2 linked regions of the Stegostoma tigrinum genome follow. The protein of the gene in region 2 purifies or fractionates together with the protein of the main gene of each other region. This does not show direct contact. Links are inferred from orthologs where the notes say so. Each region holds a gene or a part of one and is shown on either strand. Other genes may lie near its edges. The genes, in order: reps1 and aak1b.

What was found.
Region 1: the proteins of aak1b (region 2) and reps1 purify together in Homo sapiens (affinity purification with mass spectrometry; 3 studies listed by BioGRID and IntAct, counting the BioPlex papers as one, with this or other methods). This does not show direct contact. The link is inferred for Stegostoma tigrinum from reciprocal best matches to the Homo sapiens genes AAK1 and REPS1.

Annotation. Positions count from the first base shown.
Region 1 is NC_081362.1:90,386,813-90,390,733, forward strand, and holds the start of reps1 (ralBP1-associated Eps domain-containing protein 1), read right to left. Parts: upstream 3,008-3,921; 5' UTR 2,771-3,007; intron 2,457-2,770; exon of another isoform or gene 2,043-2,456; intron 1-2,042. UniProt on the Homo sapiens protein: May coordinate the cellular actions of activated EGF receptors and Ral-GTPases.
Region 2 is NC_081393.1:6,534,025-6,537,945, reverse strand, and holds the start of aak1b (AP2-associated protein kinase 1), read left to right. Parts: upstream 1-1,306; 5' UTR 1,307-1,671; coding exon 1,672-1,867; intron 1,868-3,921.

The sequences.
Region 1 (3,921 bases), on a different chromosome or scaffold from region 2:
TAGTGACAGAGGCTCAACAGCCCTCTGGTAAAAAATATCATATTCACCATTCCCAGAAAGAAAAAGATGACGGGTCATCTGTCTTCAATGTGCAATCTCTCATTCTTAGATTATACCCTCTGGTCCTAGACACACTCAAGGGAAAACAACTCTCCATTGTGAAGAGTAGTCATAAAAGACAAGACTCAAGATGTTAATTGTTTCTCTCACCAAAGATACTGACCTGTTGAGGTTTTCCCCAGTGTTCCACGTTTGTTTCTTTGCACCTACCTCATCAAGCCCCTTGTATGTTTTGTCTTATCTTCCTAAACTCACGAGTAGAAGTCCAAGCCGCCAAGAAAATCCCTCCATTCTTGGGATTAATTTTGTGAACCTTCTCTGGACTACCGCCAATAACAGTATCTCTCTCCTTGGATAAGGGCACACCAGAATGGTTCACAAAAATTTGGTGCACAATGCACAGAAAAGCAATTATCTATTTTAGTTCAAGTAGTTTGTGAATTAAAATTTTCTGAAACGTCATCAAAATTCATACTACTAGTTTATTGGATTTTTTTTGTTATTATAGAATCCCTACAGTGTGGAAACAGGCCCTTCCGCCCATCAAGTCCACACTGAACCTCAAAGCACCCACCCAAACCCATTCCTCTATAACCCACTAATCTAAACATCTGAACATACAGGGCAATTGAGCACGGCCAATCCACCTAGCCTGCACATGTTTGGACGGGCGGGGGGTGGGGGGTGAACCAGAGCATCTGGGGGAAACCCACACATAGGGAGAATGTGCCAACTCCACATGTACAGTCACCTAAGGGTGGAACTGAACCCACGTCCCAGGCACGGAGAGACAGCAGTGCCAACCACTGTGCCACCGTGCCACTAATATATCTCATAATTTAGACCTTCAAATCATTTGCAATGATTCCCAATTGCAATTCTGGTTTCTCAGGAAAGCAACTGATAGTATGACTCAAATATAACTAAAGGGTCATATGGGCTCCAGGCATTAATTACTTCTGTCTTTAAAGTCTGCCAGAACTGAATTGTTGCAGAGATAATGGGAACTGCAGATGCTGGAGAATCCGAGACAAGCTGGATGAACACAGCAGGCCAAGCAGCATCTTAGGAGCACAAAAGCTGACGTTTCAGGCCCAGACCTTCTAATGAAGGGTCTAGGTGCGAAACGTCAGCATTTGGCCTGCTCTGTTCATCCAGCTCCACACTTTGTTGTCCTGAATTGTTGCAACTCTATTTTAATCAAATTTAGACACTTGATACCAGTTAAAATTCAAAGAACTTTCAAAAGATGCAACCAAGCACACGAAAACCAACAGTAGTTGCCAGTGCTTTTGTCTGGACCAAGGAGAAAAGAGTATGCCAAACCCCGAGAACATGAATCCGTTTTCAGTAATTAACAACAGGTTCATCCCTCATTATCAGAAACTGACAATGGGACAGGAGTGTAGTTTTGACTGCTCATTTTTTTGGCTGAAAACATTGACTTTTGTTGAAACAGAAATCACAATTTCTGCAAGGGTACAAACATAAACATGTTTGTTCTAACACTTGCCCTAACTTTCCCCAACTTAATGTTTCCCCAACCAACAAATCTTAGATATGGTTACATTATCATCTGGTACTAGGTCACGATTAAGCGTTTATACTGTAATCATAAGAATATGCAATACCATCCTATTTTGTTCCAGCACCAAGAGAGATATTAACTGGATAGCAATTAAGTGTACAGATATTTCCAAATTCTTGAGTACAAGTAACAACCATTACTCTGGCTGATAGCCAACTCAGTACACATACCAGGCAAGATAAAATAGAATCACTAGAGATTAAAAACGGGAAAACATTACACGAAAACCCTGACTAAAGCACATGACGTTGTAACTCATCCTCGAATTCCGCGGATACAAACAGGATCACCTATGAGCAAATTTATCAACCCAGGACTGTAAACGAATAGTGCAATAAAAAGTAAAACACAACTAATACTGGCTGTGAAAACAGAATGGTTTACTGTAAATTACCAGTTTGTTATTACAGGAGCTTTCAGTTGAATTCCCAACCTCCTGTCGCCCTTTAATTCACACACGCGGTGCAGTCGCCGACCGCGAGGACTGAGCGTGATACAGGACGAAGGACACGTAGAAAACAGAAACCAAATCTCGAAATACAAGCCTGATTATTGGGCAACCTCAACACAGCCCTGAATACACAGAAGTTGCCTATGAAACAACTGCACAGCATCGAGAGGCCACTAAGAACCTCGGGCTTGTTGCACGGTTTATTTGGAGCACGGCGAATTTGCATCCCAGTTGCATTTGCCCAGTATCCTGATTAAAACAGCCCGCAGTCACAAAAACAATAGCCTTTCTTCCCCCCCCCCCCAGCCCCTGATTAGGTTACAGCAAGCGCCACTTTCCTTCCCTTGCGGGAGATCTGCGGCTGCGCGCTAGTGGGGAGGCGAGGGGGCGCCGCGGTGCGGGCTGGGAGTTGTAGTTGCCCCGCTGCCGCCCTCGGGATCGCCATGTTGGTCCGGCACCCCCGCTCACATCCCCCAAAACCCCGGGGGCCGAGCCCGTTCCTCTCTAGCCCTTCCCTGATCACCAAGACTAAAACTCTAACTGCGGCGAAGCAGCGTGGACGGACGTGATCTCATGTATCAGTAGCACCCCCTCCCCCAACAATCATCTTTAAGGAGTCTCCGAAGGAGCGCTCGCTGCGGCCCCTTTCCCCGCCCCCTTTTCCCCATTACCTCTTAAAGTCTTGCCAGTGTGATAGCCACCCAGCTCCCGCGATCAGATCACTCTGTGGGGGAGGGGGTGGGCTGATGATCTGTTCTCGCGAGAGGAACCGGCCGCCCCAAACCTTGCAACCCACATCACTCACGAAAACACCGCGGGCGACTGTCGGCCAATACCGTTGAGTCCCGTCTCAGAGCGTGAACGGAGGGTGGGACCTACACCGCCCCGAAGGGCGAGTGGGCGGGGCGATACCCGGGGATCGCATCTGTTGGCCACGTGACGATAGGACGGACTGCACGAGCAGAAGAAAGCCGTTCGTCACGTGACGCGCGTCCTCCAATACCCAGCCCCCCTGGGTAGCCGTTATTTCTGGCGGGAAGATCGCCATTTTGTGGGTGGGGGGTGAATTTTATAAATTGCTGGAAAAATGTGGCATACCTGCCAATATCTGCGTGGAGAGAAACAGGTTTAATGTTTCGAGCCTAGTGACACATTTCAAGATTGGAATGTTCTGTAGAAGCATGAAATTGTATTTCCCTCCTTCGTACCGACCACACTGCTCCTGATTCTAGAAGGGGGTGTAAGCCAACTTTCCCCCCCCTCACTTCTTCCCAATACTCAACCCTCTACTACCCCGGGCTGCATGAACTCTTCACTTGCAAATTTTCTGTCGAGAGGCCGAAGATGAGGGGACATTTGATGGAAATTTTCAAAGTCCTAGTGCGTGTGCCACTGAAGGCTGTTCTGCCCAAGATCATAAGGGGTTGAGACAGTGGAAAATGAGAAATTGTTCCCACTTGTAAAAGTGTTGTGAACGAGAGGGATAACAAGGTGTGGAGCTGGATGAACACAGCAGGCCAAGCAGAATCAGAGGAGCAGGAAGGCTGACGTTTCGGGCCTAGACCCTTCTTCAAAAATTCAGAACGAGAGGGCTTGTTTGTGAAGGGTTTTAGAGTGGAAGTAAATGTGAAGTGTGAATTTTCTGGTACAGTGTGCAGTTAGGGGCTGGAATGTCACTTTGGAAAGACCCTTGATCGTTCCTGTCATTGAATGCAGACAACATGAATTTGTACCTTTGCTCCATTGATAGTGCTGTAAGGTTAACTGACTGTTGATATGCGCTGTTTAAAGTGGGAGAATGAACTGATGCATTTTCTGTCTA
Region 2 (3,921 bases):
AGTCCAGAACCAGAGGACACAGTTTAAAAATAAGGGGTAGGCCATTTAGAACAGAGTTGAGGAACAACTTCTTCACCCAGAGAGAGTGGTGGATATATGGAATGCTCTGCCCCAGAAGGCAGTGGAGGCCAACTCTCCGGATACTTTCAAGAAAGAGATGGATAGAGCTGTTAAAGATAGTGGAATCAAGGGTTATGGGGATAAGGCAGGAACAGGATACTGATTGTGGATGATCAGCCATGATTATAATGAATGGTGGTGCTGGCTCTAAGGGCCGAATGGCCTACTCCAGCACCTATTGTCTGTAAGGCACCCGTGCTTTTTTTTCATCTATTCATCACGAGTAAATCATTTCTCCCTGTTAACTTACATGCAAAGCCCATTTTGTTTTTAGTGATATCCAAAAGTGTCTTTGCTCTTTAACACCATTGTGCAGGTTGACTCCCCGAACCGGTTTTGTTTTGTTTTGTTTTAAACCAATTAACCACCCAATGTCAACTTTTCCCCCAATGACTTTACATCCAAAGCACAGATGCATATTTTTAACTTATTTTTTCATCATTTCAGAAGTACTCTTTAAAATGAAAGGGTTTGGTCGCCCTCGCTAAATCACCCGTGTAATTTTTATCATCGATGAACCACTCGTTGGGTTTTCCAACTGAGTAATTTACAGAGCAAAGCCGTATGTAGAGAGTTGAAGATAACAAAATGTGAGGCTGGATGAACACAGCAGGCCCAGTAGCATCTCAGGAGCACAAAAGCTGACGTTTCGGGCCTGGACCCTTCATCAGAGTTGAATGTGTATTTAGAATATCCAAGTTTTTTTTTCTACGGTGATAATTTTAACAATTCCCAAATCTGACCTGCTGCCCACTCGCTGAGGAGAAAACCGTCGAGCCCGGCAACTGACAACGGGCAACGAATGCCGGGAATTGGAGCCCCGCCCGAGGCCGGAAGTCATGCGTGGCCGCAAAGTGCTCTGGGAACTGTAGTACAGTCGCCAGCCTTTGGCTCATCCAACCTTGACTTTATAAACTACAATCTCCGTCAGGCCTCTTCATAACATTCCGCACCACCGTCAAATCCCACACGCATGCGTACAAACTCCTGAAAAATAAACAGTTAAAAGGATTCCGCCGATATTTTCTTACCTTCCCCCCCGCCCCCTTACAACGAACGAGATTTTGATTTGTTTCTTCTAACATTTAACGACGTCTTTTCCGTTCGGCCGGGACTCCGGGTCCGTTCCGAGGGGCGGGGGGAGGAGAAAGAAGGAGGAGATCGAACCAATCAGCTGCGCATCCGGGTCACGGCGCGTTGTGTCTCCCTTCTTTGGGTCCGGCTTTCATGTCGGCGTTAACGACAAGAAAAAAAAGGGAGCCGGTTGTTTTTTCTGGTCCGCCCCGTTATTCCCTCCCCGTCTCTTCACTTTACCACCCCCACCCCCTCCAGCCCAGTTACCGGGCCGGCTCGGCGGTGGAAGCAAGGCCCGGTTTTTAAACCCTCGGTCGCTCGATCGACTATCATTTTCGTTGCCGTTATTACCGTGACACCACGTACATTTAAAAAATATATATATCGAGATTGTTCTATTTTGCCCGGCCGCGCGGGTCGGTGGCGGGGCGGACACAGACAGAGACAGAGACAGAGACAGAGAGTGATCGCCGAGTGATGAAGAAATTCTTCGACTCCCGGCGGGAGGCGGCGGGCTCGGGTTCGGGAGGCGGCGGCGGCGGCGGTGGAGGTGGAGGAGGAGGAGGCGGCAGCAGCGGCGGGGGCGGCGGCTTATGCCCCGGCAGCGGCTTCATCGGCCGGGTGTTCAGTGTGGGCCGGCAGCAGGTCACTGTGGAGGAGGTGGTGGCTGAAGGTGAGGAGCGGCCATGGACCGTGGGGGATGGAGGCAGGGAGCCGTGGCGTTGACAAGTGTTGAGGGATGGCTCTGCCCCTTCAGCACCGGTGATCCAGCATCCCCAATGATACTAAGCCCGCCACCCCAATATTACTGATACTGAAAATCTGCGACTCTAGTTACAGGTCCAGCATTCCTAATGTTACTGATCCTGCCATTTCAGCATCAGTGATCCAGCATTCCCAGTGTTACTGATCCTGCCATTTCAGCATCAGTGATCCAGCATTTCCAGTGTTACTGATCCTGCCATTTCAGCATCAGTGATCCAGCATTTCCAGTGTTACTGATCCTGCCATTTCAGCATCAGTGATCCAGCATTCCCAGTGTTACTGATCCTGCCATTTCAGCATCAGTGATCCAGCATTTCCAGTGTTACTGATCCTGCCATTTCAGCATCAGTGATCCAGCATTCCCAGTGTTACTGATCCTGCCATTTCAGCATCAGTGATCCAGCATTTCCAGTGTTACTGATCCTGCCATTTCAGCATCAGTGATCCAGCATTCCTAATGTTACTGATCCTGCCATTTCAGCATCAGTGATCCAGCATTCCCAGTGTTACTGATCCTGCCATTTCAGCATCAGTGATCCAGCATTTCCAGTGTTACTGATCCTGCCATTTCAGCATCAGTGATCCAGCATTCCCAATGTTACTGATCCTGCCATTTCAGCATCAGTGATCCAGCATTCCCAGTGTTACTGATCCTGCCATTTCAGCATCAGTGATCCAGCATTCCCAGTGTTACTGATCCTGCCATTTCAGCATCAGTGATCCAGCATTCCCAATGCTACTGATCCTGCCATTTCAGCATCAGTGATCCAGCATTCCCAGTGTTACTGATCCTGCCATTTCAGCATCAGTGATCCAGCATTCCCAATGCTACTGATCCTGCCATTTCAGCATCAGTGATCCAGCATTCCCAGCCTTACTGATCCTGCCATTTCAAAATTACTGATCCTGCCATTCCACTGTTGCCGATTCAGCAATTTTGGCATCGATTATCCAGCGATCCCAATATTTCGGATCCTGCCATTTCAACATCCGGTATTCCCAGTGCTACTGATCCAGCAATTTCCAACATTATAGATCCTGCCATTTCAACACCCAGCATTCCTAGTGTTAGTGATCCTGCAGTCTGACTGTTGCTGACCCAGAACCCCAACATTGTGGATCCTGCCATTTCAACATCAGTGATCCAGCATTCCCACTGTTAATGATCCTGCAATCCCACATTTGCTGATCCAGCAAATTTAGCATCAACTATCCCTCAAGTTGAAACTAGTCATCCTACATTTATAACATTAATTATCTGATATTCACATTATTTCACATCCAGCTATCCTACTTTAATGATCCAGCAATATCAAGATTACAAATCAGCAGCAATATCAATATTTCTGACCTTGCAATCCCACTATTACAGATCCTGGAATTTCAACATTTTTGCTTTTTGAGATCCCACCATACCACAGTTACTGTTCCAGTAATCCTACCTACTATTACTGATTTTACAATCCCACTATAGCTGATCCAGCAATCACACTGTTGTTGATGCTGTAATCCTACGATTACTGATCCTGCAATCCCAATACTTCTAATCTTACGTTCTAAGTATTACTACTGATCCTGCATTTACATTAGTAGTGATCTAGCAATCCTACTTTTATATATGGGCTATAATTTCAACGTTATCAATACTGATTCAGCAGTTCCAAAATTAATCATGTGCCCGTCCCAATTCTGTGATTTCAGTATAATGTATCTTGCATTTTCAAGACTGATCCAGCACTCTCTATTATTGATCCTGCAATTTTAAATATTATGATCCAGCAGTTCTGATGTTACTGGTCTTGTAATTTCAACAAAACAGATCCTGCAATTTCATCAATACTGAAACAGAAATTTCAAAATTAATGATGTGCAAATCCCAATACTGCTATCTCAATATCACGTGTTCTGCATTCTCTATAATAATCAAACACTCCCAATATTACTGATTTTGCATTTTTAAGT